Linked DNA regions of Macaca mulatta. The main gene of each other region encodes a partner of the protein of the gene in region 4 in a complex. Links are inferred from orthologs where the notes say so. Each region holds a gene or a part of one and is shown on either strand. Other genes may lie near its edges.

Region 1 (3,500 bases), on a different chromosome or scaffold from region 4:
GGTCTTTGCAAATGCTACTGCCCACATTTATGATTTCTCTCAACTTTTCCACAACCCCTGTTCCAAATCCTGCCTAAAACTCACCTCCTCCAAGAAGTTTTCCTCATTACAACCTTATCCCACTCTGATTAAACTTTTTGTTTCACATTCTCTTATCATGTAAGAGCTTGGTTCATATTAGGTTAAATTACACTGTTGATATTCTGTTTGCCAAGTGTTAAGTATTTCAATGTTAGTATAATTTTCCCAACTAAGTCTAAGCTCTTCCAGGACACGGGCTTTCTCTTTCTTCTTCAGTAATCCCCATTAACACTTTGTTTTCATCAAACAATGGAAACTCAAATATGATGACTAATTTGCAAGGTGAATTTAACAGGACCGAGAGTGGCCAACTGGAAGGGACAATGGGAAAAAGCAAATGTACACACCGGTGGTAGGCTTTGGGTGACATCCCCTCTTCACTAGGAGGGCTCGTGTTTTGCAAGGACATATCCTCGGCCAGGGGCGAGCGCTTCCTGGAACTCCTACAGTTCAAGAAAAAGGACTCTCCCATAATATATTGTGTGGGGTGGGGACTTGAATGGACCAAAAATGGGACCCGTATCCCAAAGCTATCTAGACACCTCCTTCAAGAAGCCATTTTTATTAATCCCACCCAATGTAGTCACTTCATTCACAGCATGCCCTCAGCACTCATACAGAAGTATGCCCTACTGGTCAGATGCAGAGGCTCATGTCTGTAATTGTAGCACTTTGGGAGGCCGAGGCGGGCGGATCATGAGGTCAGGAGTTCGAGGTCAACCTGATCAACATGGTGAAACCCCGTCTCTACTAAAAATACAAAAATTAACCGGGCATGGTGGCATGTGCCTGTAATCCCAGCTACTCAGGAGGCTGAGGCAGGAGAATCACTTGAACCTGGAAGGTGGAGGTTGCAGTGAGCCGAGATTGTGCTACCGCACTCCAGCCTGGGCAACAGAGTGAGACTCAGCCTCAAAAAAAAAAAAAAAAAAAAAAAAAAAGCAAAGCAGTATGCCCTATCGTGACATAATCTTCACTGTACAGATCTGTGTATACTGTGGCTCAATCATTCCCCCTTAAATATAACAAAATTCAACATAAGTCTGAAATTCTATAGCCAACCCTAAAATTTACATGAAACTGCTACTTAGATTTTATAATACGTAAATATATATTTTGTGATACTCCTGCCTCTTCTAAATTGCAACTCCTCGGCTCAAGAGATCCTCTTGCCTCAGCTTTCCAAGTAGCTGGGATTACAGGCACATGCCATAGTGCCTGGCAAATTACAAACTGTTTTAAGGCCAGCACTATCTCTCCTTCTCTGATCACCCTACAATGCTCTAAACACAAAGGGCACAAATCTCTCTGTTTTTTTTTTAGTTCCATAGCCTGGCCAGGGAACCAAGCAGACATTATATTCACTCTTTTCCCTCAGGAAAAGCAATGGGATAGCCAAGGTATCAAAAGAACTTCGGAAGGTTTGATAGGAGTCGCAGAATTTTTTTTTTCTAAAGAGAGATACTGGGAAATGAGTAGAAAGACAGACTACTTGATACTGCTAATACTGAAAAAGGCCAGGATCAGTCAGCAACTACAGAATAAAAAGTGTAGTAGTTAAGGGGGTACTGACAACTCCTCCAAGTGTTTCACTTCTGGCACCAGAGGACCAGCAATATGCCATAGAGCAAATGGTAAGCTCTCAAGAATATAATAAATAATAGTTACTTTTTTGGTATCCTATCTACAAGTGCATTGCAGAGAAACCTCTACAAAGAGGCAACAAGGAGGTCTACAGCTCAGGTACCAGTGGAGTCACATTCTAAAACAACTTATTAGGCCTCAAATAAATCAAACATAAAATCTTAGAGCAATCAGTTTATAGGTAAGAAGGAAAAAAAGGAAATATGGAGAAACATGAGAACCAAAACTCCTGTTATTTAAAAAAAGACAAAGCTACCAATTATTTATTTGGATATTTAAACCCATGAACTTAGGTAGTTCAGATGGTGATGACACAAATTCACCTCTCCTACTTTAATGTCTAAGTACCTCTCTTGAACATTTGCTGCTCTAAATAGAGGATATCAACGTGTGAACTGGTAAGCTCAGCAACTCTGTTACCATTCAAAACAGTCCTGAGCTCATTAGACAGTAAATTGTAACCTACCTTTAGCTCTCGTTTTCTGCTCCTGTCACTGCTAGACTTGGAATGCCTAGAGCTTCGGCCTTCCTCCACAGCCTCAAAGAGTTTGTCCACAAATCGGAGAGTAGAATCATCAAGAAAAGGTTTCAGATGATCTGACAGGAAGAAAGGCAGTGGTAGGATTGGAAAGGTAAGACTACATAGTCTAATACTAGGCCTATAACAGGTACCAACACTGGAATTTTATTCCCAGGAGTGAAACAAATTTTAAGTTTTTTTCTACGATTCCCATCTCTCTTACATTGAATGACCTTGCCCTATGAGGTGAAAATAGTTATAATTTTTTGGAGTGGGAAGTCGTACAGTCAGAGCAACCTGTTTACGTTGAACATCAAGTTTAAGATGAATAACCACCCTAACCTTTCCCAAATAGCAAGTTGCAGGAGACTACCATTAACAAAATCTACCTCCTTCAAGCTTTTTTATGTATTTCATAAAGACTTTTATATGTTGAGATGTCAATCTGAATCTGAATATGCCTATCTGACTTAAGCATACTTCCTAAGTAAATCTAACTTAGGTGACTCGGTATGGTAGCCAAAGATTTAAAATCTATCATAAATAACATAAAAAATAAACAATAAGAGAAAAAGCAAATTATGATTTAGCCTATTTTCATTATAATACAGATGAAAACAAAATATGGCCTGCCCTTTTTTTAGATGTTCCCAACAGAGAGAATTTTAGGGAAGTTCAGTGTTTGGGGTCACCCTATATGTTAAGACAAAAGCTGCAGAAAGGTACATACCGGCTGCCTTCTTCTTGTCCATGCCCTTCCCCACACAGTTCAATGCTGCTGTGACCACTGTAGGCTCTGAGAAACCCAGGACCCTCTTCACTGTCTTCTCTATCCATGGTTTCAGCTCATCCAGCTCCCTCTTAGACAGTGCCATTTTGCAGGAAAAAGAGAACAATAGCTCAAACTGGACTCAATACTACACCTAAAAACAAAAAGAGACAAGTTAGAGAATAAGAAAAAACTAAAGTGGGTTGGGTGCAGTGGCTCATGCCTGTAATCCCAGCACTTTGAGAGGCCAAGGTGGGTGGACTGCTTGAGGTCAGGAGTCAGAGACCAGTCTGGCCAACAGAGTGAAATCCTGTCTCTACTAAAAATACAAAAAAATTAGCTGGGCGTGGTAGCATGAGCCTGTAATCCCAGCTACTCCGGAGGCTTAGGCAGGGGAATAACCAGGGAGGTGGAGCTTGCAATGAGCCAAAATCACACCACTGCACTCCAGCATGGGTGACAGTGAGACTCTGGCTCAAAAAAAAA
Region 2 (3,500 bases), on a different chromosome or scaffold from region 4:
TGCTTGTTTGCCTAGGGTGGAAAAAGAAGAAAATCTAGGTGCAGGGAGGGATTATTTAGAATTCTGTGCAAGGGCATTGAGAGAAAGGTTGTAAGAACTGGGCTGTGATTTGGTAGGAAATTTGGAAGGACGAAGAAGTGGTTTTTTTGGCAGACCAGGAGGATGGTGGAGCATTATGTAGTGAAGACTTAGTGTGAAGATAAATGTTGAAATAGGGATGAAGGAGAGCAGGGACTTGGGTGTGGGGTGGTAAGTGGTTAGTTGGGGGCCAGGGGCCTGACCCGTGTCTCCCCGCTCCCCCTCAGGAGCGGTGGTGCCCCCCCCGGGCACGGGGCCATGTACAACGGGATCGGGCTGCCGACGCCCCGGGGCAGCGGCACCAACGGCTACGTCCAGCGCAACCTGTCCCTGGTGCGGGGCCGCCGGGGTGAGCGGCCTGACTACAAGGGAGAGGAGGAACTGCGGCGCCTGGAGGCTGCCCTGGTGAAGCGGCCTAATCCTGACATCCTGGACCACGAGCGCAAGCGGCGCGTCGAGCTGCGATGCCTCGAGCTGGAGGAGATGATGGAAGAGCAGGGGTGAGGGAGAGCTGGGGGAGAGTCAAGCACTGAATGAGTGCAGAGCTGGGGGTGTTAGGTGGGATGTAGGGAGCTTAGGGTGGTTGAAAGAGTCCTGGCAAGGAGTTGTGGTAGGGGAGGAGGCAAATGAGCTCTAGATAATTGAAAACAGTTAAGGGACAGTGCAGAGTGGGAAATGAGAAGGCTGTGTGTCTGAGGCATAGATGGGAGCCTGAGGGATTAAATGGAGGCACATGGGAGAAGGGAGGGGCCGTTGAGGAACAAAAATGTGTTTCAGGGGAGAGATGGGAAAGCAGAAACCAGATAGAGGAGCTAGGTAAGCTGATAGGTGTTGTCATTGGTAGAAAAGAAGAAGAATGGATATAAGGATTGAGACCTTGGAAAGTAGCATGGGCAGGAAAAGAGGAGGAAAAGAGGAATTAGAAGAACATTTGAAGAGGGAATCATGGGCTGGGAAGGGAAATTTTGGAAAAGGAGCACATTAAGGCAGAAAACTCTTTTAGAGCAGTGGTTTTAAACTTCAGCAGTGGTGACCCTTTTATACAGTATCCCTCACTTTGGAATCCCAGGAAATAAAAGGCACGTTCTTGTTGAAGTTGGGGAGGAGCACTTGAAACCCTGCTTAATTTTTTTCTTTTGGCCCCTGAAGTGTAGCATATTTAAAATCCACTGTTCTAGCGGGAGTAGTAGGTAGAGGGAAGAAAGATAATGGGAAAAGATTAGACTGAAGAGAAGGAACTTTTGGGTGACAGCGAGTGAAAACTTCTGTGTGTGCATGGAGAGGGAAGGGCCCCTTTGGGGAATGAGGGAAATGGAAACCTGGGACTGGGGAAAGTGTCCTGTCAAGCTTAACCCTGAAGGGATTTGTTCTTCAGGTACGAGGAACAGCAAATTCAGGAGAAAGTGGCGACCTTTCGACTCATGTTGCTGGAGAAGGATGTGAACCCTGGGGGCAAGGAGGAGACCCCAGGGCAGAGGCCAGCGTGAGTGTTGCACTCTCCCTCGATGACTCTGGACTCTACTCTGGCTGCTGGCTGCCGCTCCCGTCCTTTTCCTTACGTGGGACTTCCTGCTTTCGTCTGCCTTTTCCATGTCTTATTTGGCTCCTGCTTATACTTGTGTTCTGAATATGGCTCTGTCCTTTATATTTCCTTCAGACTTTTGCCCTTCTTTTCTCTAGGGTCACGGAGACTCACCAGTTGGCAGAATTGAATGAGAAGAAGAATGAAAGACTCCGTGCTGCCTTTGGCATCAGTGATTCTTACGTAGATGGCAGCTCTTTTGATCCTCAGCGTCGTGCCCGAGAAGCTAAACAACCGGCTCCTGAGCCTCCCAAACCTTACAGGTATACAAGGCCAAGAAACCATTGTCAGCTTCTTTTCTTGATTGTAAGATCCTTGCTCTATTTTTTTCCTTTTGTGGACTGATTTCTTCCCAAACTCTTCAGATTTTGTTTTTCTGAAGTTGAGGTGTCCAAGAAAATTTGTCCAAGGGCTAGCCACAGTGGGTCACGCCTGTAATTGCAGCATTTTGGGAAGCTCAGGCAGGAGATGACTTGAGGCCAGGAGTTTGAGACCAGCCTGGGCGATATAGTGAGACCCCCTTTCTACAAAAAGAAAAAAAGCTGGGTGGTGGCACGTGTCTGTAGTCTAAGCTACTTAGAGAGGTGGAGGCAGGAGGGTCTCTTGAGCCCATGAGTTGGAGGTTACAGTGTGAGCTGTGATGCTGCCACTGCACCCCAGCTGAGGCAACAGGGCGAGACTATTTTTAAAATTTTTTAAAATACTTTTTTGAGACTGTCTTTTAAAGAAAAGAAAGGAACGTTTGTCCTAGCGCTCATCTCTGCTGCTTTTCATCTTTCCCCAGCCTTGTTCGGGAGTCTAGCAGTTCTCGCTCACCAACCCCAAAGCAGAAGAAGAAGAAAAAGAAGAAAGATAGAGGACGGTAAGTTAATTGGAAAGTTACTTTGCTAGCCAGAGGACCAGTCCTGTGGTGTACTCTCTCTCTGGAAGTGGACAGTTCTGGCTTCCACAAAGCAGGAGATAGTTGTCAGGAGGAGGGAGTTACCATTGAGGCCTCACCTTGAAGAAATATCTGAGTTTTGCAGTGGGGACGTGTTGAGTTTGCAGTGTTGCCAATTAAGATCAGCCAGCAACATTATGGATTCTGGAATTTCCTTTTTCATTTTGAGGTTTGTTGACTCAAGGAGTTACTTGTTGGAGAAGAAAGAAAGAAGTCCTGGGCTTAGGTCTGGGGCATTAGTGCTATTAGGATGTTCAAGTGTTTTAGAAACCTTTTTAGGGGAGAGATTGTAAGTGGGAGGGCCAGGAAAGAAGCCAAGCAGAATGATCTTGCTTCTGAATCCATCTTTAGCAGGTCAGAGAGCAGCTCTCCTCGACGGGAGAGAAAGAAAAGCTCAAAGAAGAAGAAGCACAGGTACGAGGTGTGAGTACTTGAGTGATTGGAGAAGGCTTGCTGAATTCAGGCAGAGGTGTTTTTTATGTTTTTTCTTCTCTTTTTTCCGACAGGTCAGAATCCGAGTCCAAGAAGCGTAAGCATAGGTAAGAGCTCTTTAACTCATTGGGGGCACAGTGGCATGTAGAGTGGTGATTTCTTTTTCTTGAAGTGAAGCTCAATACCTTGATCTTTCTCCTGTTAACATTCCCTAACTCTTTCCATTTCACTTTTGGTTTTATTTCCTTTTTTAAAAAAGTTACTTTTAACAATCTTTCCTTATTTCTCAGGTCTCCCACTCCAAAGAGCAAACGTAAATCTAAGGACAAAAAGCGAAAGCGGTGAGTGAATTTGTGGGGAATTTGCTTAGAAAGTAAGTGAACACCACCTTAGTGGGAAGGGGTTGAGTCAGTTATGTCCCTAACTGGTAAAAGGTTGAGGGGTAGGTGAGGAAAATCCAGGGCAGGT
Region 3 (4,139 bases), on a different chromosome or scaffold from region 4:
TGCTGCCCCATAAGTGGCCCAACCACTCAGCCAGGGCCCTCTGTCCATGGATGGCCCTACCATCCTGCCATAGCAATCCCTCTGCCAGTGTATGCTACCTGTGTTTGCTTGGCCAGCCCCTTTTGCCATGGTCTGCTACCTGTACATGCTGTCCAACTTCTCTGAAACAGTACTATGCTCTGAAGGCCTACAAAACCCAAATGTAGTGGTCCTTTGCACCTGTGCCAAGATCCTCTGGCCCTGTGGACTAACTGTGCTGTTTACCTCTGGGGTTGCAGGCCAGCTGCCCAGCCCCTCTCCTACTAGCTGCTACTACCAGTATGAGCCACCAACACCCTCTCCCACCAAATGCTGCTGCCAACACCTCAGCAGAATGAAGAATATACAGATCTCCTATTCATTCTTGTTCCTCGTCAGGCTGTGATTCTCAGCCTCCAGGTAGAGATTGGCTTTGCTCACTAACCTTACATTCATTGAGAATCAAAGAAAGCAAACTACAACCTTCTTTCTGTTTTTCATCCCAATTCCTCTGTGGTTTGCCCCAGTCGTATGATGCCACACAGGCAAGGACCAGAAGGGCCCTGTGACCATGGGTTACCCCTAGTTTGCAAGAGCCCAAGGAGGCGTACCAATATGGAACCTTCCTGAGGGTTCCAGTCTGTTCCAGTCTAGGCCCAGGCTGAACAAACCTCAGTGAAAAACAACAGAAATAGACTAGAATCCCCAAGATGGCCTCCCAAATTAACAAACCTCTTGGATCTCCCACAGGAGAACATTCTAGAACCATGTCCTGGGACTGATCTAGACTAGAGCAGAAGCTCCAGCCCTCCCCATGCAGGGACGCCATTCAGCCTAGAGTGAAAATAAGTGGTTTTTGTGATGCCACAAAATGCATTACAGAAAAAAGTACTCTGTCGACTCAGGAGGCAGGAAATGAAAGGGGACTTACTGTGAGAACACACAGATGATGTCCCCTTCAGTCAGTTCATAAGGAAGCCCTCCTAGAAAAGAAAACCACATTTCAGTTCCACCAACATTTACCAAGTGTTTACTACGTACCATGCACTAGGCCAGGCACTAGGGGTGCAAACAGTAAGCAACAGGCCCTGCCCTTAAAGAAATCAAGTCTGGGCTGGGCACCATGGCTCACGCCTGTAATCCCAGCACTTTGGGAGGCCAAGGCGGGTGGATCACCTGAGGTCAGGAGTTCGAGACCAGCCTGGTCAACATGGCGAAACCCCGTCTCTACTAAAACTACAAAAAAAATTAGCCGGGCGAGGTGGCGGGCACCTGTAATCCCAGCTACTCAGGAGGCTTAAGCAGGAGACTCGCTTGAACCCAGGAGGCAGAGGTTGTAGTGAGCCGAGATCACGTCACTGCACTCCAGCCTGGACAACAAGAGTGAAACTCCAACTCAAAAAAAAAAAAAAAAAAAGAAAGAAAGAAATCAAGTCTGATGCAATGACAGAAGTACATGTAAGGTGCCAGTAGAACAGGAAAAGGAGTGACTAATTTTGAGTGGAAGTCAGTGTCACCACTAACAAAAGTAAACTGATCACTCAGTCCTCCTGGCACCCAAAATCCTATGGGCAAAGCAGATAGTTTCCATCACAAACCTCTGCTTCCACAAACATGTTGAATTCATCTGCTCATTACCCACAAATTTACAGCTATGATACAAAATTAGTCTACATATGTCATGATTAACCCCACCTACACATAGACAAAGGTTATAAAGACACTGTTAAGCATTTCCTAGGGAATAATTTCCCTTCCAAATGTTTCTTTCCTCATCTGTAAGATGGGGATATTAGCAGGTAACTCGCAAGACTGTTATAAGAGTTAAATAAAACGATGCATATAAAGTGCTTAGCACAACGTTTTTACAATAACCTCTTTGAAGCATCAAACTTGTACAATTACTGGTTGTGATATAAAGTGAATACAGTAATGGTAGTGTGGCCATGGTCAGAAAGCAGGAGCTAGAGGAGCAAAGTGAATTCTGCAAGGGAAGGGGAATGGGGGAGGGCGGTGGTAGCAATATGGGGCTGTGGCTAAGACCATGAGTTCTAGAAAGCTATAGTTCTGCCTGTTGCGGTTATTAGCTATGTGACCTTAAGGAAGTCCCTTAACTTCTCTGCACCCCAATTTCCTCAGCTGTAATAACGGGTCAGGGGGTGAGAGAGAAATAACAACAGTCCCTGAACCTTAGCACAGCAAATGGCAAACAGTAACTCTCATGAGCACTGATTTGGCTGGGAAGGAAAACTAAAAATGGGGCAGAAAAAAAAAAAAAAAAAAAAAAGATGGAACACGGATTCCCGGGCAGACAGCAGATGGATATAAAGGAGGGCAATGAATGTAAGCAGGAGTGAAGGGTGAAAATGCTGAAATAGTCGGACACCGAGCAGGAGAATCTTGGGAGCACTGCGGAAGAAAGATGTGCACCTCACCCAGGAAGATCCAGGCGCTGTCCTTGTACTCGGAGTGCCAGGACACTTTATCGGCCACCCCAAGCTGGACCTCTCGTTCATTCAGCTCGTTGATCAGCTTCACCTTAGTTAAAGGACTTCACGGTGGCGGGGGGGAGGGGAGGCAGAAAAGCAGACAAGTAAATGCTAACCGGCCGAAGCTGAAGAAGAGCAAAACAAGGGGACGAGCTGTGCTAGTCCCCGCGCCTCTCCCGCCCCTCGACCCCGCAGACGCTCTACCACCCCAGCCCCGGTAGACCACCCTCAGCGGCCCGCTGCTCGTTCCTCAAAAGGAAGCTGACGCCTTACTTCATCTCCGCGGGCTCGCGCTCAGCATTCAGGAATCAGCGCCCGGGAAAGGCAGCGCCACGCATGCGCGGCCCCGGCGCCGGTGGCTCGTCGAGTCGGTGACCTCGCGCCGGAAGAGCTGGGGCGTACCGGGGCGTGGCGCCTGCGCACTAGAAGCCTTCCGCGTTCTTTGCAGTTACCTCTTGTAGAAACGGTTTTTCTCTAATTTTTCGCTTTTTCTCCTCTGTGAAATGGGGTAAAGGCACGAGCCTGGGCTGTTGCAGGACCCCCAGCTCTTGAACGATATCGGAAACTGGTTAGATTAGCTATAAATATTTGCTGAATGAACGGAATAAGCAGCCTGATGTGGCGACTTTAGTCTCAGCCCTCGCTCCCAGTCCAGAGTCCCACTTGGACCTTCGCTCCTAGTCAGTTGCTCACGCACAGACCCATCAAAGCATCCCTGTCATGGCAGAAAAGTGAAGAAGATAGGTGAAAAGGTAAATCTTCTGTTGTTCTTATCCCAATACATAGGCAACAGACCAGTGTGCCTCTATAGGCTGAATTGAATACCTACAGATTTGCATGAGAGCCGCTGCACTTACTCTTTTCCATAGGCTCTCTCCTAGTTGAGCAGGAGACAGAAATTAATATTGTTAAATTAATAGCTAGCAAGTGAGCAGATGATGTACTGTATGATACTAGAGTATGTGCTAAGCAATTTACATGTATTGTCTCTCCACCCTCACAACAACCCAATGAAGCAGATAAAATTACAATTCCTGGCCGGGCGCAGCAGCTCATGCCTGTAATCCCAGCACTTTGGGAAGCTGAGGTAGGAGGATTGCTTGAACTCAGGAGTTTGAGACCAGCCTGGGCAACATAGCAGAACCTGTCTCTAAAATAAAGGAAAAAGGGGGGGGCCAGGTGTGGTGGCTCACACCTGTCATCCCAACACTTTGGGAGGCTAAGGCAGGTGGATCACCTGAGGTCAGGAGTTCAAGACCTACCCAGCCAACATGGTGAAACTCTGTCTCCTCTAAAAATACAAAAATTAGCTAGGCATGGTGGCACACGCCTGTAATCCCAGCTACTCGGGAGGCTGGGGCAGGAGAATCACTTGAACCTGGGAGGCAAAGGTTGCAGTGAGCTGAGATCGCACCACTGCACTCCACCCTGGGCAGCAGAGCGAGACTCCTTGTTTTAAAAAAAAAAGAAAGAGAAAGTAAAAGAAATTTCCACCCTCGTTTTGTAGAGGAAGAAATGAGGCTCAAATGAATAAATTAACTAGAAAGGTACTAGAGTACCTGCACCCAGTAGGTCAGGTTGATTCAATCAGTCCTTACTGAACATCTAGATTTGTCCTGTGCAGCTAAGGTC
Region 4 (4,125 bases):
TTAAAAATGGTTAGAGTGGCAAAATTGTAATGTATATTTTACCACAATAAAAAGAAAATTAATTACAAAAAAAACCCCACCAAAACACATGGCTGAATCATTTACAGAAACTCATTTGACAGACATACAGTCAGTTCAATTTCTTCGGCAGATGTGTCTTTCCCCTGAAGGAATGAATTTCCTCAATAACTTTGGTGTTGTGCCTTTAGCATCATTCATTAAAAGACTCATGAATTTCACTTGAAAACTTTCTTTCAGGGCTAAATGATGAGAAATGTTTTGTTTTCTCCAGCAAAGTAGTGTGTTTCCCTTACAGTATTATTATGAATTAAATGTCTGAGCTCTTCTTACTTTAACTACTAGGAATAAAATCTGTGGCTGAATTCTGGTTTAAGTCCATGTCTTGTACCTAGTATATCATAGTATCCTCCCTGGCTTTGACTTTATTTTTTAATTTTGCCGTACATTTGTCAATTTAATTGTATGTATTCTTATTAGTCAGACTAAACCTTTGAGCAATAAGGTGAAGCAAACTAAATGCAATGTTATGACCTTTACAGCTCTTTAGCTTACCTGCATGTTCATGTAGCCATCTACAGATACCAGATAGCCCTTGTACTCCATTCCCCACTTAAGTTTCACCATCACTGGCTTTCCTGTTAGTCCATTGAGGAAAGGTTTGGGATTGAGGGGTAAACTCTGCACAAAGAACAAAAAAGGATCCAATTAATTATTTTTCCTCCCACCACCAACTCTCTTCTACTAAATACCAATATTTTGTGGTATGCAAATGAAGAAAACTCTTGACTCATTATTTTAGTACACAATTTTCACTTTCATTTATTGGAGAGTACCAGGGAAATTTAAATATCCAGTTAGCCAGTATCACCTTTAACCCATCAAAACAAAATACTCACTATTCACTTAAGATAACACCGACTACATACATCACTTACTGTTCTGAGCTCTAAAGAAACAAAGATAAAGGCACTTAAAAAAAAAAAAAATGCGGGCCAGAAAGGGTGGCTCATATCTGTAATTCCAGCATTCTGGAAGGCCAAGGCAGGGGGATCACTTGAGGCCAGAATTTCAAGACCAGCCCAGGCAACATAGTGAGACCACCTTCTCTACCAAAAATAGTCAGATGTGGTGGTGCACACCTGTAGTCCCGGCTACTAGGGAACAGAGCAAGACCTTGTCATAAATAAATAACAGAGTCCCTGTCAAGAAGTTGGAGATGGGGAGGGGGGCTCCTCACATACAAATAATTATACTGCATATTGCAACATAATAAGAGGAGATATACTAGGCACAAGGGTACCGAAGCAATCCAGGGAAAAAAGGAAAGGTTGCCTGAAATAAGTTAACCTCAGTTTTAAAGAATGAGAATTTATTTCCAGAGCGGGAAAAAATCCTGTTCCAGGCAAGGCTAGCTACTTATGTAAAAGGAGGGAAGAGTGAAGCAACAAGGTGATTTTGGGGACATACAATTCAGCATTGTCAGTCAAAGTCCCAAATATAAGACTACAGAAGGAAGCAGAGGGCAGATGACGCTTGACAGTCTTTAACTGTGGAAGCTAGGGCTAGGTCCTAAATGACTTTGTCACTAGCACTGCCTCTTATAGCAATCACTTAAAGTTTGCTCAGCAAACCATTAACATCTCCAGTGAATTCGGTTTTTGCCTTTTTCTGCTCACTCACCAGTCAAAGAAAGAACAGAACTAAGAAACTTGGCTACTAACCCCCTCTAACATAAACATATTCGGAGTGACTTGATGCGGCGATTACTCCAATAACCTAATGGGTCTCCAGTTTTCATTCTCCAATTTATTATCCACCACAGCAACATGATTTTTTAAAGTGCACATCAAATTGTCATATTTCTGCTTAAAATGATTCAATGGCTTCCAACTCAATCATTTTCAATTGATTTGGAGTACAATCAAAACCTCCCAATACAGCCTAAGAGGTCCTGTCCAACGCCTGCTCCTCCGACACCATCTCGTAACCACTCTTCCTGCAAGTGGCTGTACCTTTTTGTCAATTTCTCCAACTGACCAAGCTTTCTTTCCGGCCGCAGGTCTTATGCGCCTATTCTCTGTGCTCGGTACACTCCTCCTCCTGCTCTTTAAAGGGTCTATTTCATGACACTTAGGCTTCAGGTTAAATTCCACCTCCTAGGGAGGCCATCTCTGACTAAGCCTCTAAATGTCTAACGCGCACCCTCACAGCCTCCTGTCTGCATTCTTCTTAGCACTTATTACTTGCAATTGCATATTTGTTATTTTTTGACTGTCTGTCTTCCCCAACCGAGTTAAACTAGAGCATGGCCGTATCATTACTTTCATGCAATGAAAGTGAATTTTGGAGTGTGGTTAAGTGGGAAGTGCAAATTCTCTTTGAGTTTTACCCCGACCCTGTAGCCACAAATAAGAATATCCCAAGCCCGGATTCAAACAAAGAGGAGAAGGCACGGGCACTCCTAGAAAAAGAAAGGCATCGGGAGGAGCACGCGCCTCAGAAATCCTAAAAGCAGAGTGAAAGAAGCTGGCGACCGGGTGCGCGGCGCCTCACGCGGATGAATGGGAAACGCGCGAAGCAACCACTAGGCCCCGCGAGGTGGTCTCCCTCCTTCTCTTTCTCCCCGCTTCTCCCGCCGTTCTCGTTCTCCTTACCATCGTAACCACGGCCGAATATTGCAGGCTACTCACTGCCGACCAGGCTGCCGCTTGTCCCTCGTGACTACAGCAGGTACCCCAGGTCCCGAGCCGCTGAATTTCAAGAAAAATGGCCGCCAAACAGGAGTGTGACCTTTCACCTCCCACCACGGCCCTTCCTGCCTCTGTGATTGGACGAAAAGAGATGCGCGCTGATTGGAGGAGATGGTTGGACCAGTATCTCCTGGCAACCAGCAGCGGCTTGAGTTTGCGCCTGGCCGGCTGCGCGCGGGTCTTGGGAAACCCGCTCTGAGGAGCAAGGTGAGGCAGCCAAGGACTGGAGGCAGGCCGGTGTTGTAAATGTGCGGTCTGGGAGAGGCTGTGTGACGGATGTGACTTCTCCCCAACTTGGTTAATGGGGATTTTACTTTGTCTTTTTACACCCGTGAGAATGTTCAGGATCCCAGAGTTCCTTCCTCACTCTTCCAACAGGTTCCATGATTTGGGGGCGCCTCTGCCGCAGGCCGTTTCTACCTGAGTATTCTCTCTTCTGCAACACCCATTTCAACCCCTTTTAAAGGAATTCGGGGGTAGCCAGACAAGACTAGGGGCGGTGAAACGCACCGAAGGGAGTCGGATACAGAATTTATTTTAAACGAGGTCAGGTTGTGTCTGGGATACGGTGTCATGTCCCCCCACCCCCCACGACCCCGCCGGCCCCATCTTTCTTTTGCATCGCCAGCAGAGACTGGCACGGCCTTCTTACGTGCATTTGAAATTACCTAAGGGCGTAAGCAATATTTCCGCTGTCACGGATTAAAACTTTCGACGTAACGGTGTTATCTGAATCTCACTGGTTTTTGTCGTAATCCTAGTGAGTTCGGCTCACTCTGATCTGAAATGCTAAATGCAGTTCTTGGAGAACACGCCCTTTGGGAAGTAACGCTTTTTTGCGGCCCTGAAGAGATGGATTTGAGGTTGAGGATGAAATGTTGGTTGTTGAGGCACTGTGGAGCAGTGGGCAAGACTTTGGAGAGGGCCTGCATTCGGAACCTGCGTCTATCAGGCGCAGCCGGTGTTGGGCAGTGTCTTAACCCTCAGGGCCACTGTTTCCACGGCAGGAACGCGGCTTTAAAAACGGAACCATCCTCAGCGTGGTTGCGAGAATTTAACCTAAAACGGGGCTTGGCCTTGTAAAAGCTCAGTGTTTCACATAAGTGTTGAACACTGACAAGACAGTCATTGTCAGTGTAGTTTTTACCAAACAGTTATTAGATTTATTCACCCTAAACTTAAGTGGATTTCTTCCTTAGTTTGTATATTGTTTCATGAACTTTAAGTCTTTGTACAGACTTTGAGTTCCTACTATGTGTCAGGCTCTTTCAACAATTGTGGAAATCTTACCTTACCGTCTGATTCGGGGTGACAGCCCCGTTTTAGAGATGAGGAAGCAGGCCCAGCAGGTAAC
Region 5 (3,500 bases), on a different chromosome or scaffold from region 4:
TTCATGCCTGTAATCCCAGCACTTTGAGAGGCTGAGGCAGGCAGATCACCTGAGCTCAGGAGTTCAAGACCAGCCTGGGCAACATGGCAAAACCCTGTCTCTATTTAAATTATTTAAAAAATGAAGTACACTCTGATGGCAACTGTGTGAAAACATAAACATTTGTTTATTAATTGATATAAGTAAGCATGTACTATATTTAATAATTAGGATATTGAGTACTAACTGAAACAGAAACAGTTTCTGACCTGATGGAATGATAGGAAAAAGTAGATACCTTATTCCAAGACAAGACAATAGGGTTTAACTTTGTAGTGGTCTCATGTTCATCATGAGGTTTTATTTTATTTTATTTTATTTTTTATTTTATTTATTTTTTTGAGATGGAGTTTTGCTCTCATTGCCCAGTCTGGAGTGCTATGGCACAATCTTGGCTCACTGCAACTTCTGCCTCTCGAGTTCAAGCAGTTCTCCTGCCTCAGCCTCCCAAGTAGCTGGGATTACAGGCACCCGCCACTACACCCAGCTAATTTTTCTATTTTTAGGAGAGATGGGGTTTCACCAGATTGCCAGGCTAGTCTCGAACTCCTGACCTCAGATGATTCATCCTAAAGATTTAATGAAAGCTACTTATCCCTGGGTGGGGATAATACACCTATGCAGAGTAATGTGCAAGGTGATATGTACAAATAAAAGTTGTTTTGTTAAGAAGGTTATATTGAACTGAATGCTTCTCCCAACTAGTCCTGAATTTTCTGTCTGGCAGCATGAGTAGATCTGTTTCTTCTTTGATTGGACAGCCCTTCAGATATGTGAAATATGTAATCACATCTCTTTACATGGGATAAACATCCTTCATTCTATTAAGCATTCTTGGTGCATTTTTCCTCCATACTTATTGCTGTCTTTATCATCCTCTTTTGGACACACCTTTGTCTGTCAGTGTCCATTAAAGTCTTGTCCAAACTAAACACATCTTGGCTGGGCACTGTTGCTCACACTTGTAATCCCAGCACTTTGGGAAGCCAAAGCAGAAGAATTGCTTGAGGCCGGGAGTTTGAGACCAGTCTGGGCAACATAGTGAGACAACTATCTCTACAAAAAAAAATTAAAAATTATCAGGCATGGTGGCGCGTGCCTGTAGTCCCAGCTACTCAAGAGGCTGAGGTGGCAGAATTGTTTGAACCCAGGAGATTCAGGCTGCAATGAACTGTAATCACACTTCTGCACTCCAACTTGGGCGACATAGCAAGACCCTGTCTCAAAAAATGTAATAATAAGAAAAAGCAACATATCCCACATATTTTGTAGCCACTTAGGCACTATGTTTGTCAGGGCTGCCATAACAGACTAGGTGGTTTAAACCACAGAAATGTATTTATTTTCTCACAGTCTTGAAGGCTGAAAGTCCAAGAACAAGGTGGCAGCAAGGTTGGTCTCTCTTTTTTTTTTTTTTTGAGGCAGAGTTTCGCTCTTGTTGCCCAGGCTAGAGTGCAATGACACAATCTCGGCTCACTGCAGCCTCCGCCTCTCGGGTTCAAACGATTCTCCTGCCTCAGCCTCTGGGTAGCTGGGATTACAGGTGTGTGCCACCACATCCGGCAAATTTTTTTGTGTGTATTTTTAGTAGAGGTGGGGTTTCGCCATGTTGGCCAGGCTGGTCTTGAACTCCTGACTTCATGTGATCCGCCTGCCTCAGCCTCCCAAAGTGCTGGGATTACAGGCATGAACCACCACACCCGGCCTCATTTTGGTCTCTTCTGAGGCTTTTCTCCTTGGCTTGCATAGGGCCACTTTCACCATGTCTTCTCACGTGGTCTTTCCTCTATGTGTGGGAGTCCCTGGTGTCTCTTTGTGAGTCCAAATTTCCTCTTAAAAGGACACTAGTAAGATTGGATTAGGGCTCACCCTAATGGCCTCAATTTAAATTAATCACTTCTTTAAAGGCCCTGTCTCCAAATACAGTCACATTCTGAGGTACTGGAGTTTAGGGTTTTAACATACAAATTTTGGGGACAGAGATTCTCCCCATAACTGGCACCCTATCTTTGGGTTGAGGTAATGGGAATATGGAAGGCCTTAACTTCTTTTTTTTTTTTTACTGTTCAGTGTAAAAATTAATACACAGGAATAAATCAGTTTTCTTTTTTTTCTTTTAGCCAAAATCTGAAGATGAAGAAGGCTGGAAGAAATTTTGTCTGGGTGAAAAGTTATGTGCTGACGGGGCTGTTGGACCAGCCACAAATGAAAGTCCTGGAATAGATTATGTACAAGTAAGGGCTGTGTGGATAAACAGAACAAAAAGCGTTTTAATTTTGGTGCATCACTTAATATAAGGGGTCAGCAAACTCTACCCTGGGCCAAGTCCAGTTCATGGCCTTTTTTATATCCATGAGCTAAGGATTGTTTTTAGGTTTTTAAAGAGTTGTAAAAAAGAAACAAATAATATGTGGCTGAGACTTTATGTGGCCTGCAAAGCCTAAAATATTTGCTGTCTAACTCTTGATAGAAAATGTTTGGCAACCCAGACTTAGTTTATTAGCTCTTCAACCTAACAAAGCAGCTTAGTTTCTGAAACAGTTTACTGTGACTTTTTTTAGGTTGGCTTCATATCCCTTATGTTTGACTTGGTAATCATTTTATGAGTTGGATAAGATTCAGGGTGTTTTAAAATGACAAGGCATCAGGCAAACAGTGTTATGAGTAGCCAGGGAAAAAATGGAAATTGACACAATTAGGTGCTTTAAAATGCATAATCACATAATATCATTTCATGGGCCTGTAAAAAAGTAAATAATATATTCTAAAGATGAAATTTTAAGGATATCTTTAAATTCATGTGGCTGTAGTCATAAGTTATGTAGCCAACTCATTGTCCTTCAGGATTTACCTGCCCCCAAGTTTGCAGGTGTTCCTTTAAAATCCAGTGTATGCCTCTGCATTAGCGCTTACTCCCTATAGCATGTCGTTCTCTTCGGTTCAACAGGTATTTATTATTTGCTATATGGTGCCACATTGTGTTTTTCCCATTTAAAACTAATTTTTCCCAAAAATGTAAAGAGCCCCAAGAATCAATAAAAAGACCAAGAATCACCCCTCCCCTGCCCAAGAAAAAACAGCCAAAGGATATAGATACCTCACAGAAAGGAAATAAAATTATTCTTATATGACAAGATGCCAAAAATCACTTGTAATAGAAGTATAACATAACTATGCCAAGGTGCTATTTTTCAGGTAACATATTGGCAATGAAAGTTTGATACACCATATTGACAAGAGCTGGGAAAACAAGCACTCTTAGACATGGTACAGTAGTGTAAATAGACTCAAATCTTAGGGAAGTTAATTTGATACACTTTCTATGTAACCAATTGATCTTTTGGATGATATCCTTAATATATGCTACATTTCAAAAATAGTTTATATATATATATATATATATTTTTTTTTTTTTTTTTTTTTTGAGACAGGGTCTTCTGTCATCCAGGCTGGAGTACAGT
Region 6 (3,500 bases), on a different chromosome or scaffold from region 4:
TTTGCATTGCTTGCCTGTATCAAAATATCTCATGTACCCCATAAATATATTTCTACTGCGTACCCACAAAAATTAAACACAAAATTTTAAAAAAGAAAGTGTACATAGTAGAAAATGTACAACTACACGTAATTTAATATATATTTTCCCCATAAATATATTTCTACTGCGTACCCACAAAAACACAAAATTTTAAGAAAGTGTACATAGTAGAAAATGTACAACTACACGTAATTTAATATATATTTTAAAATTTTTATTTTTCAAATGATTGTACAGCAAGAGCTTTTTGTTTGACATACAGGTCTAATGAATTGTAATAGATGTATTGATTTGGGTAACCACTACCACAATTAGGATATAGACATTACGTCACCTCAAAAAACACCCCTGTGCTATTTTTTTGTAGTTATATCTTCCTTCACCTCTGACAATCACTGATCTGTTTTCTATCACTATAGTTGTCTTATTTTTTTTCAATAATTTCAGTTCTAATTTATTTTTAATTTTTATGGCTAACATAATAGATGTGCATATTTATGGGCTACATATCAAATCTGATACAAGCATACAGTGTGTAGGCCAGGTATGGTGGCTCATGCCTATAATCCCAGTACTTTGGGAGGCCTAGGCAAGTGGATCTCTTGAGTCCAGGAGTTCAGTACCAGCCTGGGCAACACCACAAAATCCCGTCTACAAAAAATACAAAAATTAGCTATGTGTGGTGGTGCACACCTGTAGTTCCAGCTACTCCAGAGGCTGAAGTGGGAGGATCACTTGGGCTCAGGAGGCGGAGGTTGCAGTGAGCCGGGATCACACTGCTGCACTCCAGCCTGGGCAACACAGTGACACCCTATCTCAAAACAAGAAACAAAGAAAAAAAAGCATACAATGTGGAATGATCAAATCACAGTAATGGGGATATTTATCTCCATGGTAATTGGGATATTATTTCTTTGTATTAGGAACATTTCATTTTACTCTTCTAGTTATTTTGATATATACAATAAATTATTCTTAGCTATAGTCACCCTATTGTGCTACCAAGCTAACTAGCCAAACTAGTGCTACCAAACACTAAATCTTACTCCCTTTATCTAACTGTATTTTTATACCCATTATCCACTCCCTCTTTATCCTCTGCCTCCCTACTATTCTTCCCAACCTCTATTAGCCATCATTCAACTCTCAAGATCATTTATTTTTTAGCTCCCATATATGAGAGAGAGCATGCAGTACTTGTGTTTCTGTGCCTGGCTTATTTCACTTAACATAGTATCTTCCAGTTCCATCCTTCTTGTTGCAAATGACAGAATTTCATTCTTTTTAATGGCTGAGTAGTATTCCATTGTGTGTATGTACCACATTTTATTTATTCATTCACCTCTTGATGGACACTTAGGTTGGTTTAGCTTTGTCTTTTTGACTATGTCATATAAATGGAATCATACAAAATGTGCTTTTTGAGATTGGCTTCCTTCACACAGCTTAATACCTTTGTGAGTCACTGAAGTTGTTGCAAGTATTAATAATGTATTCCTTTTTATTACTGAGTAGTATACATTATATAGATGAGCCACAATTTGTGTATCTATTAACTTGTTGAAGATAATTTAATATTGTAAAATATAACAGTCAAATTATCTTTTAAATTTATGATTTGAAGATGGGAGGGCAATTCAAACTCAGGCTGCAGTTAAACTTAAAAACATTTTAACTTGTATGTTAGCCGCCCGTTCTACTTTGTTTTATACAGGTTATCAGTGGGCATCTTGGCTGGGTTCGATGTATTGCTGTGGAACCTGGAAATCAGTGGTTTGTTACTGGGTCTGCTGACAGAACTATAAAGGTAATAATGAGGGAAGAAAAAATAAACATGACTTTGTGTTTGTCATGTAAGTTTAATCAGTTACTATTTCCTGTGGCAGGAATTGCTATTGCAGTTCCTCTGTTATTTTAGACCTGAATAAGGAGTAAAATTTATCATTTATACGAGTAAGTGTTCTAAATAAATATCTGTTTGAAAAGTGGTATTTAAACCACTTTTTCTTTACCTGCTGAATACCTACCACTAATTCCTTTATACTTACATTTTTGTCTCCAACTGGTTACAAAATTAAGAGCGTGCTCATTCATAGAAAATGTGGAAAATATAGAGAATTATGAAAGTACATAGACCTGTGTATAATCCTACCATTGTTAGATACTTGGATAAGTTTCATTTTAGTATTTATTTCTGTAAGTATAAATGCCTTTACTTCTAAGCTCTTTTCTTGTGTGTGTATCTTTTAAAAATCATTCTTAGTATGTAATTTTGTATCTTGCTTTTTCCCTTAACATTTTATCAAAGGCATATTCCTGTGAAAAATTTACTATCTTTTAAAGTGCCTGCATAATATTGTATCATTTGGATAGTCTATAATCTGTTTTCCTATTGTTGGATGGTAGAGTTTTTAGTCTGATTTTCACCATTACAAGTAATGCTGTTAAGTTTTGTATATAAGACTTTTTCTGTGTTTTAAATTATTTTGTTATGGTAGAGTTCCCTAAATGTAATAAATGGGTCAAATATTTTTGAAGCCGATACCCAAAGTACAAATTACTTTCCAAATGGGTGAATGGATACTTGCAGTGTATGGGAGGATCCTTTTCAGCACATTGGTTGTACATTCCTTTACAAATATCTAATATGGTAAGCAAAAATGGATACTTAATCTTTTTTTAAAAGTTTGTATAGGCTGGGCGCAGTGGCTCACGCCTGTAATCCCAACACTTTGGGAGGCTGAGGCGGGCAGATCATGAGGTCAGGAGATCGAGACCAGCCTGCCTAACACGGTGAAACCCCGTCTCCACTAAAAAATGCAAAAAATTAGCTGGGCATGGTGGTGGGCGCCTGTAATCCCAGCTACTTCAGAGGCTGAGGCAGGAAAATGCCGTGAACTCAGGAGGTGGAGCTTGCAGTGAGCTGAGATCGCGCCACTGCACTCCAACCTGGGCGACAGAGTGAGACTCTGTCTCAAAAAATAAATAACTAAAAAGTTTGTATAAAATTTCTAATGAGTTTGAACTTTTTCATATCTGTATTTGCTGCTTTTAGGGTTTCTTTAAGTTGTTGCCATCCTCGGTTAATTTAATACCATACTTTTCATACTATTATTATCAAAGATTCCATTTATATAACAAGAAGGTTAACCTGTCATCTAATTGCAAATATTTTTCCAGTTTGAGCATGCCAGTTTTTTTCTTGCTTTTATTTGGAGAGGAGTCATTTTACAAAATTTTTTATTTTTACATATTCGTTATCTTTTTCCTCTTCTCTTTGAAAACTCAATTTTAATAATAAAGATTCTAAAATTTTGCTTTGCGGTAACCAGGGAAAGAAAAAAAATATTCTTTGATTGCAGATCTGGGACTTGGCTAGTGGCAAATTAAAACTGTCATTGACTGGGCATATTAGTACTGTGCGGGGCGTGATAGTAAGCACGAGGAGCCCATACCTG
Region 7 (3,500 bases), on a different chromosome or scaffold from region 4:
TTTTGGCTTTAGTGCTTGCCCTCTAAAAAGACATCTACAGAAAAACCTCAGCTGACTGAATATCGATTAACTGTCTTCTAACATGTGACGCCTTTCCTCTGAGGAATATTTAAAAAAATAATTTTAGTTTTGAGGCCAGGCATGGTGGCCCACACCTATAATCCCAGCACTTTGGGAGGCTGAGGCAGGCAGATCACCAGGTCAGGAGATCGAGACCATCCTGGCTAACACGGTGAAATCCTGTCTCTACTAAAAATACACAAAAATTAGCCGGGCGCGGTGGCGGGCGCCTGTGGTCCCAGCTGCTTGGGAGGCTGAGGCAGGAGAATGGTGTGAACCTGGGAGGCGGAGCTTGCAGTGAGCTGAGGTCGTGCCACTGCACTCCAGCCTGGGCAACAGAGTAAGACTCCGTCTCAAAAACAAACAAACAAAAAATTTAGTTTTGAAATAATTTTAAATTTGCAGGAACTTGCAAAAATAGTGCCAAAAAAAAAAAAAAGTTTCTGCATATCTTTCACCAAGCTTCTCCCCATCTTACATGACCTCAGTGCAGTTATTGAAACGAAAGAGTTAACATCGACACAGTACTGTTAACTAATCTGTCAGTCGTATTTGCATTTCATGTGTTTCCACGAATGTCCGTTTTCTGACTTAGGCTCAGTTCAGGAACCCCCGTTGCATTTTGTCATGTCTCCTTGGTACCTTCCAGTTGGAGCGGCTCCTCTGTCTTTCATGCCCTTGACACTTGAAGAGTAGTCACCAGTTATATTGTAGACTGTCCCTCAATTTGGCTTCGTTGGCTGGAGAAAATAATTTAGCAAGTATTTCACAAGTAGAGATGATCTCTGTTTCTGCTGGTGGGGATGGTGATGGAGGAAAAGCTGACCTCTCTGCACATGTCGTTTGCTTCTCAGTTTAATGGCTACGCTGGGAGCCTCTTCTCAAGCGGACCCTATGAGAAAGATGACGAGGAAGCGGATGCCATTTACGCAGCCCTGGATAAAAGGATGGATGAAAGAAGAAAAGAAAGACGGTAAAAGAGATTGTTGCCTTTCACGATGTTTATCCAACTTTAAAAAAAGTTTTGAGGCCAGGCGCAGTGGCTCACGTGTGTAATCCTATCACTTTGGGAGGCCAACGTAGGACGATAGCTAGAGCCCAGGGGTTTGAGACCAGTGTGGGCAACATAGCGAGACCTCATCTCTACACATAATTTAAAAATTAGTCAAATGGTGCACACCTGTAGTCCCAGCTACTTGGGTGGCTGAGGTGGAAGGACTGTTTAAGCCCAGGAGGTAGAAACTGCAGTGAGCCATGATCATGTCAGTGCATTCTAGCCTGGTTGACATAGTGAGACCCTGTTTCCAAAAAAAAAAAAGTTTTGAATTTTTTTTTTTTAATTAGAGGTGGAGTCTCGCTCTGTCGCCCAGGCTGGAGTACAGTGGTGCGATCTCGGCTCACTGCAAGCTCCGCTTCCTGGGTTCACGCCATTCTCCTGTCTCAGCCTCGTGATCCACCTGCCTCGGCCTCCCAAAATGCTGGGATTACAGGCATGAGCCACCGTGCCCTGCCTTTTTTTTTTTTTTTTTGAGATGGAGTCTTGCTCTGTCACCCAGGCTGGAGTGCAGTGGCGCAATCTCAGCTCACTGCAAGCTCTGTCTCCTGGGTTCACGCCATTCTCCTGCCTCAGCCTCCTGAGTAGCTGGGACTACAGGCACCGCCACCACGCCCGGCTAATTTTTGTATTTTTAGTAGAGACGTAGTTTCACCGTGTTAGCCAGGGTGGTCTCGATCTCCTGACCTCGTGATCTGCCCGCCTCGACCTCCCAAAGTGCTGGAATTACAGGTGTGAGCCGCTGCGCCCGGCTGTTTTGAATTGTTTTATACTCAGAGAAACGTTGCAATAGTATGCTTTTAGGCCACCTGAGGGTCTTGGTGTGTCGTAGCCATGCTTGGATAAGCCCTGGGCTGTTACGGAACAGCCTTAGGGGCTGGGGGCTGCAGTGGAGAGCTTAAGAACTCTTAAGATTTTCCAGAAATCAGTAGAATTTTGTGGATTACTTTTATGATACATCAGGGTTACCATCTTTGAAAAGGGCTCACTGACTGTTGATTAATCTTTTATATGTTGAGTAATTTGCAAATGAATTAAAGATGTCAAATGACACATACAAGCTACCAAGATTGAACCATGAAGAAATCCCAAACCTGAGCAGACGAATAAGTAGTGAGATCAGAGCTGTAATAGAAAGAGTCCTAGCAGAGAAAATCCCAGAATCTGATTGCGTCATCGCTGAATTTTACCAAGTATTTTAAGAAGAACTAGTATCAATTCTACTCAAACTATTCTGAAAAATAGAGGAGGGAATACGTCCAAACTTATTCTACAAAACCAGTAGTACCCTGATGCCAAAACCAGACAAAGACACACTGAAAAAAGAAAACGTTAGGTCAGTATCCCTGATGAACACTGATGCAGAAATGCTCAGCAGAATACTAGCAAACCATATTCAACAAGACATTGGAAAGAGGGTTCATTGGCTGGGCACAGTGGCTTATGCCCGTAATTCTAGCACTTTGGGAGGCTGAGGTGGGCGGATCTTGGGTCATCTGAGGTCAGGAGTTCAAGACTAGTCTGACCAACCTCGTGAAACCCCGTCTCTACTAAAAGTATAAAAATTAGCCGGGCATGGTGGCGCATGCCTGTAATCCCAGCTACTTGGGAGGCTGAGGCAAGAGAATCGCTTGAACCTGGGAGGTGGAGGTTGCAGTGAGCCGAGATCACGACATTGCACTCTAGCCTAGGAGACAAGAGCAAGACTCCATCTCAAAAAAAAAAAGATTGTTCATCATGACCAAGCGGCATTTTGCCCAGGGGTACAAGTGCAAGGGTGGTTCAACATATGCAGATGAATCAGTGTTACACGTTTTATCAACAGAGTGAAGGAGAAAAACCATACAATTTTTTTTTTTTTTTCGAGATGGAGTCTTGCTCTGTTGCCCAGACTGGAGTGCAGTGGCACAATCTCAGCTCACTGCAACCTCTGCCTCCCGGGTTCAGGTGATTCTCCTGCTTCAGCTTCCTGAGTAACTAAGACTACAGGCGCCCGCCACCACGCCCGGCTAATTTTTTGTATTTTAAGTAGAGATGGGGTTTCACCGTGTTAGCCAGGATGGTCTTGATCTCCTGACCTCGTGATCCGCCTGCCTTGGTCTCCCAAAGTGCTGGGATTACAGGCATGAGCCACTGCGCCCGGCCTGATCATTTTAATTGATTCTGAAAATGCATTTGATAAAATTCAACATTCCTTTATGATAAAAACTCTAAGAAAACTGGGTGTAGAAGGAATATACCTCAGGCTGGGCGTGGTGGTTCATGGTGGCTCACATCTGTAATCCCAGCACTTTGGGAGGCTGAGGCGGGAGGACTACTTGATCTCAGGAGTGTGAGACCAGCCTAGGCAAGAGGGTTAATACCCTTTCTGGCTGGGTGCGGTGGC

The links.
Region 1: SNRPF (region 4) and PRPF3 share a complex: the UniProt entries of both Homo sapiens proteins name them as parts of the U4/U6-U5 tri-snRNP complex. The link is inferred for Macaca mulatta from reciprocal best matches to the Homo sapiens genes SNRPF and PRPF3.
Region 2: SNRPF (region 4) and SRRM2 share a complex: the UniProt entries of both Homo sapiens proteins name them as parts of the minor spliceosome. The link is inferred for Macaca mulatta from reciprocal best matches to the Homo sapiens genes SNRPF and SRRM2.
Region 3: SNRPF (region 4) and RBMX2 share a complex: the UniProt entries of both Homo sapiens proteins name them as parts of the minor spliceosome. The link is inferred for Macaca mulatta from reciprocal best matches to the Homo sapiens genes SNRPF and RBMX2.
Region 5: SNRPF (region 4) and GEMIN2 share a complex: the UniProt entries of both Homo sapiens proteins name them as parts of the SMN-Sm complex. The link is inferred for Macaca mulatta from reciprocal best matches to the Homo sapiens genes SNRPF and GEMIN2.
Region 6: SNRPF (region 4) and PLRG1 share a complex: the UniProt entries of both Homo sapiens proteins name them as parts of the minor spliceosome. The link is inferred for Macaca mulatta from reciprocal best matches to the Homo sapiens genes SNRPF and PLRG1.
Region 7: SNRPF (region 4) and PRPF6 share a complex: the UniProt entries of both Homo sapiens proteins name them as parts of the U4/U6-U5 tri-snRNP complex. The link is inferred for Macaca mulatta from reciprocal best matches to the Homo sapiens genes SNRPF and PRPF6.

Annotation. Positions count from the first base shown.
Region 1 is NC_133406.1:116,809,743-116,813,242, forward strand, and holds part of PRPF3 (U4/U6 small nuclear ribonucleoprotein Prp3), read right to left. Parts: intron 3,169-3,500; exon of another isoform or gene 3,163-3,168; 5' UTR 3,121-3,162; coding exon 2,976-3,120; exon of another isoform or gene 2,938-2,975; intron 2,403-2,937; exon of another isoform or gene 2,323-2,402; coding exon 2,192-2,322; intron 525-2,191; exon of another isoform or gene 429-524; intron 1-428. UniProt on the Homo sapiens protein: Plays a role in pre-mRNA splicing as component of the U4/U6-U5 tri-snRNP complex that is involved in spliceosome assembly, and as component of the precatalytic spliceosome (spliceosome B complex).
Region 2 is NC_133425.1:4,059,704-4,063,203, reverse strand, and holds part of SRRM2 (serine/arginine repetitive matrix protein 2), read left to right. Parts: intron 1-305; coding exon 306-578; intron 579-1,453; coding exon 1,454-1,561; intron 1,562-1,758; coding exon 1,759-1,923; intron 1,924-2,444; coding exon 2,445-2,522; intron 2,523-2,951; coding exon 2,952-3,014; intron 3,015-3,106; coding exon 3,107-3,139; intron 3,140-3,322; coding exon 3,323-3,373; intron 3,374-3,500. UniProt on the Homo sapiens protein: Required for pre-mRNA splicing as component of the spliceosome. As a component of the minor spliceosome, involved in the splicing of U12-type introns in pre-mRNAs.
Region 3 is NC_133426.1:136,863,525-136,867,663, reverse strand, and holds the start of RBMX2 (RNA-binding motif protein, X-linked 2), read right to left. Parts: upstream 2,801-4,139; 5' UTR 2,786-2,800; coding exon 2,781-2,785; intron 2,570-2,780; coding exon 2,454-2,569; intron 1,002-2,453; coding exon 950-1,001; intron 1-949. UniProt on the Homo sapiens protein: Involved in pre-mRNA splicing as component of the activated spliceosome. As a component of the minor spliceosome, involved in the splicing of U12-type introns in pre-mRNAs.
Region 4 is NC_133416.1:103,187,234-103,191,358, reverse strand, and holds the start of SNRPF (small nuclear ribonucleoprotein F), read right to left. Parts: upstream 2,801-4,125; 5' UTR 2,679-2,800; coding exon 2,676-2,678; intron 700-2,675; coding exon 574-699; intron 1-573. UniProt on the Homo sapiens protein: Plays a role in pre-mRNA splicing as a core component of the spliceosomal U1, U2, U4 and U5 small nuclear ribonucleoproteins (snRNPs), the building blocks of the spliceosome.
Region 5 is NC_133412.1:112,231,110-112,234,609, forward strand, and holds part of GEMIN2 (gem-associated protein 2), read left to right. Parts: intron 1-2,159; coding exon 2,160-2,273; intron 2,274-3,500. UniProt on the Homo sapiens protein: The SMN complex catalyzes the assembly of small nuclear ribonucleoproteins (snRNPs), the building blocks of the spliceosome, and thereby plays an important role in the splicing of cellular pre-mRNAs.
Region 6 is NC_133410.1:163,136,380-163,139,879, reverse strand, and holds part of PLRG1 (pleiotropic regulator 1), read left to right. Parts: intron 1-1,756; coding exon 1,757-1,849; intron 1,850-3,404; coding exon 3,405-3,500. UniProt on the Homo sapiens protein: Involved in pre-mRNA splicing as component of the spliceosome. Component of the PRP19-CDC5L complex that forms an integral part of the spliceosome and is required for activating pre-mRNA splicing.
Region 7 is NC_133415.1:116,870,815-116,874,314, forward strand, and holds part of PRPF6 (pre-mRNA-processing factor 6), read left to right. Parts: intron 1-914; coding exon 915-1,033; intron 1,034-3,500. UniProt on the Homo sapiens protein: Involved in pre-mRNA splicing as component of the U4/U6-U5 tri-snRNP complex, one of the building blocks of the spliceosome.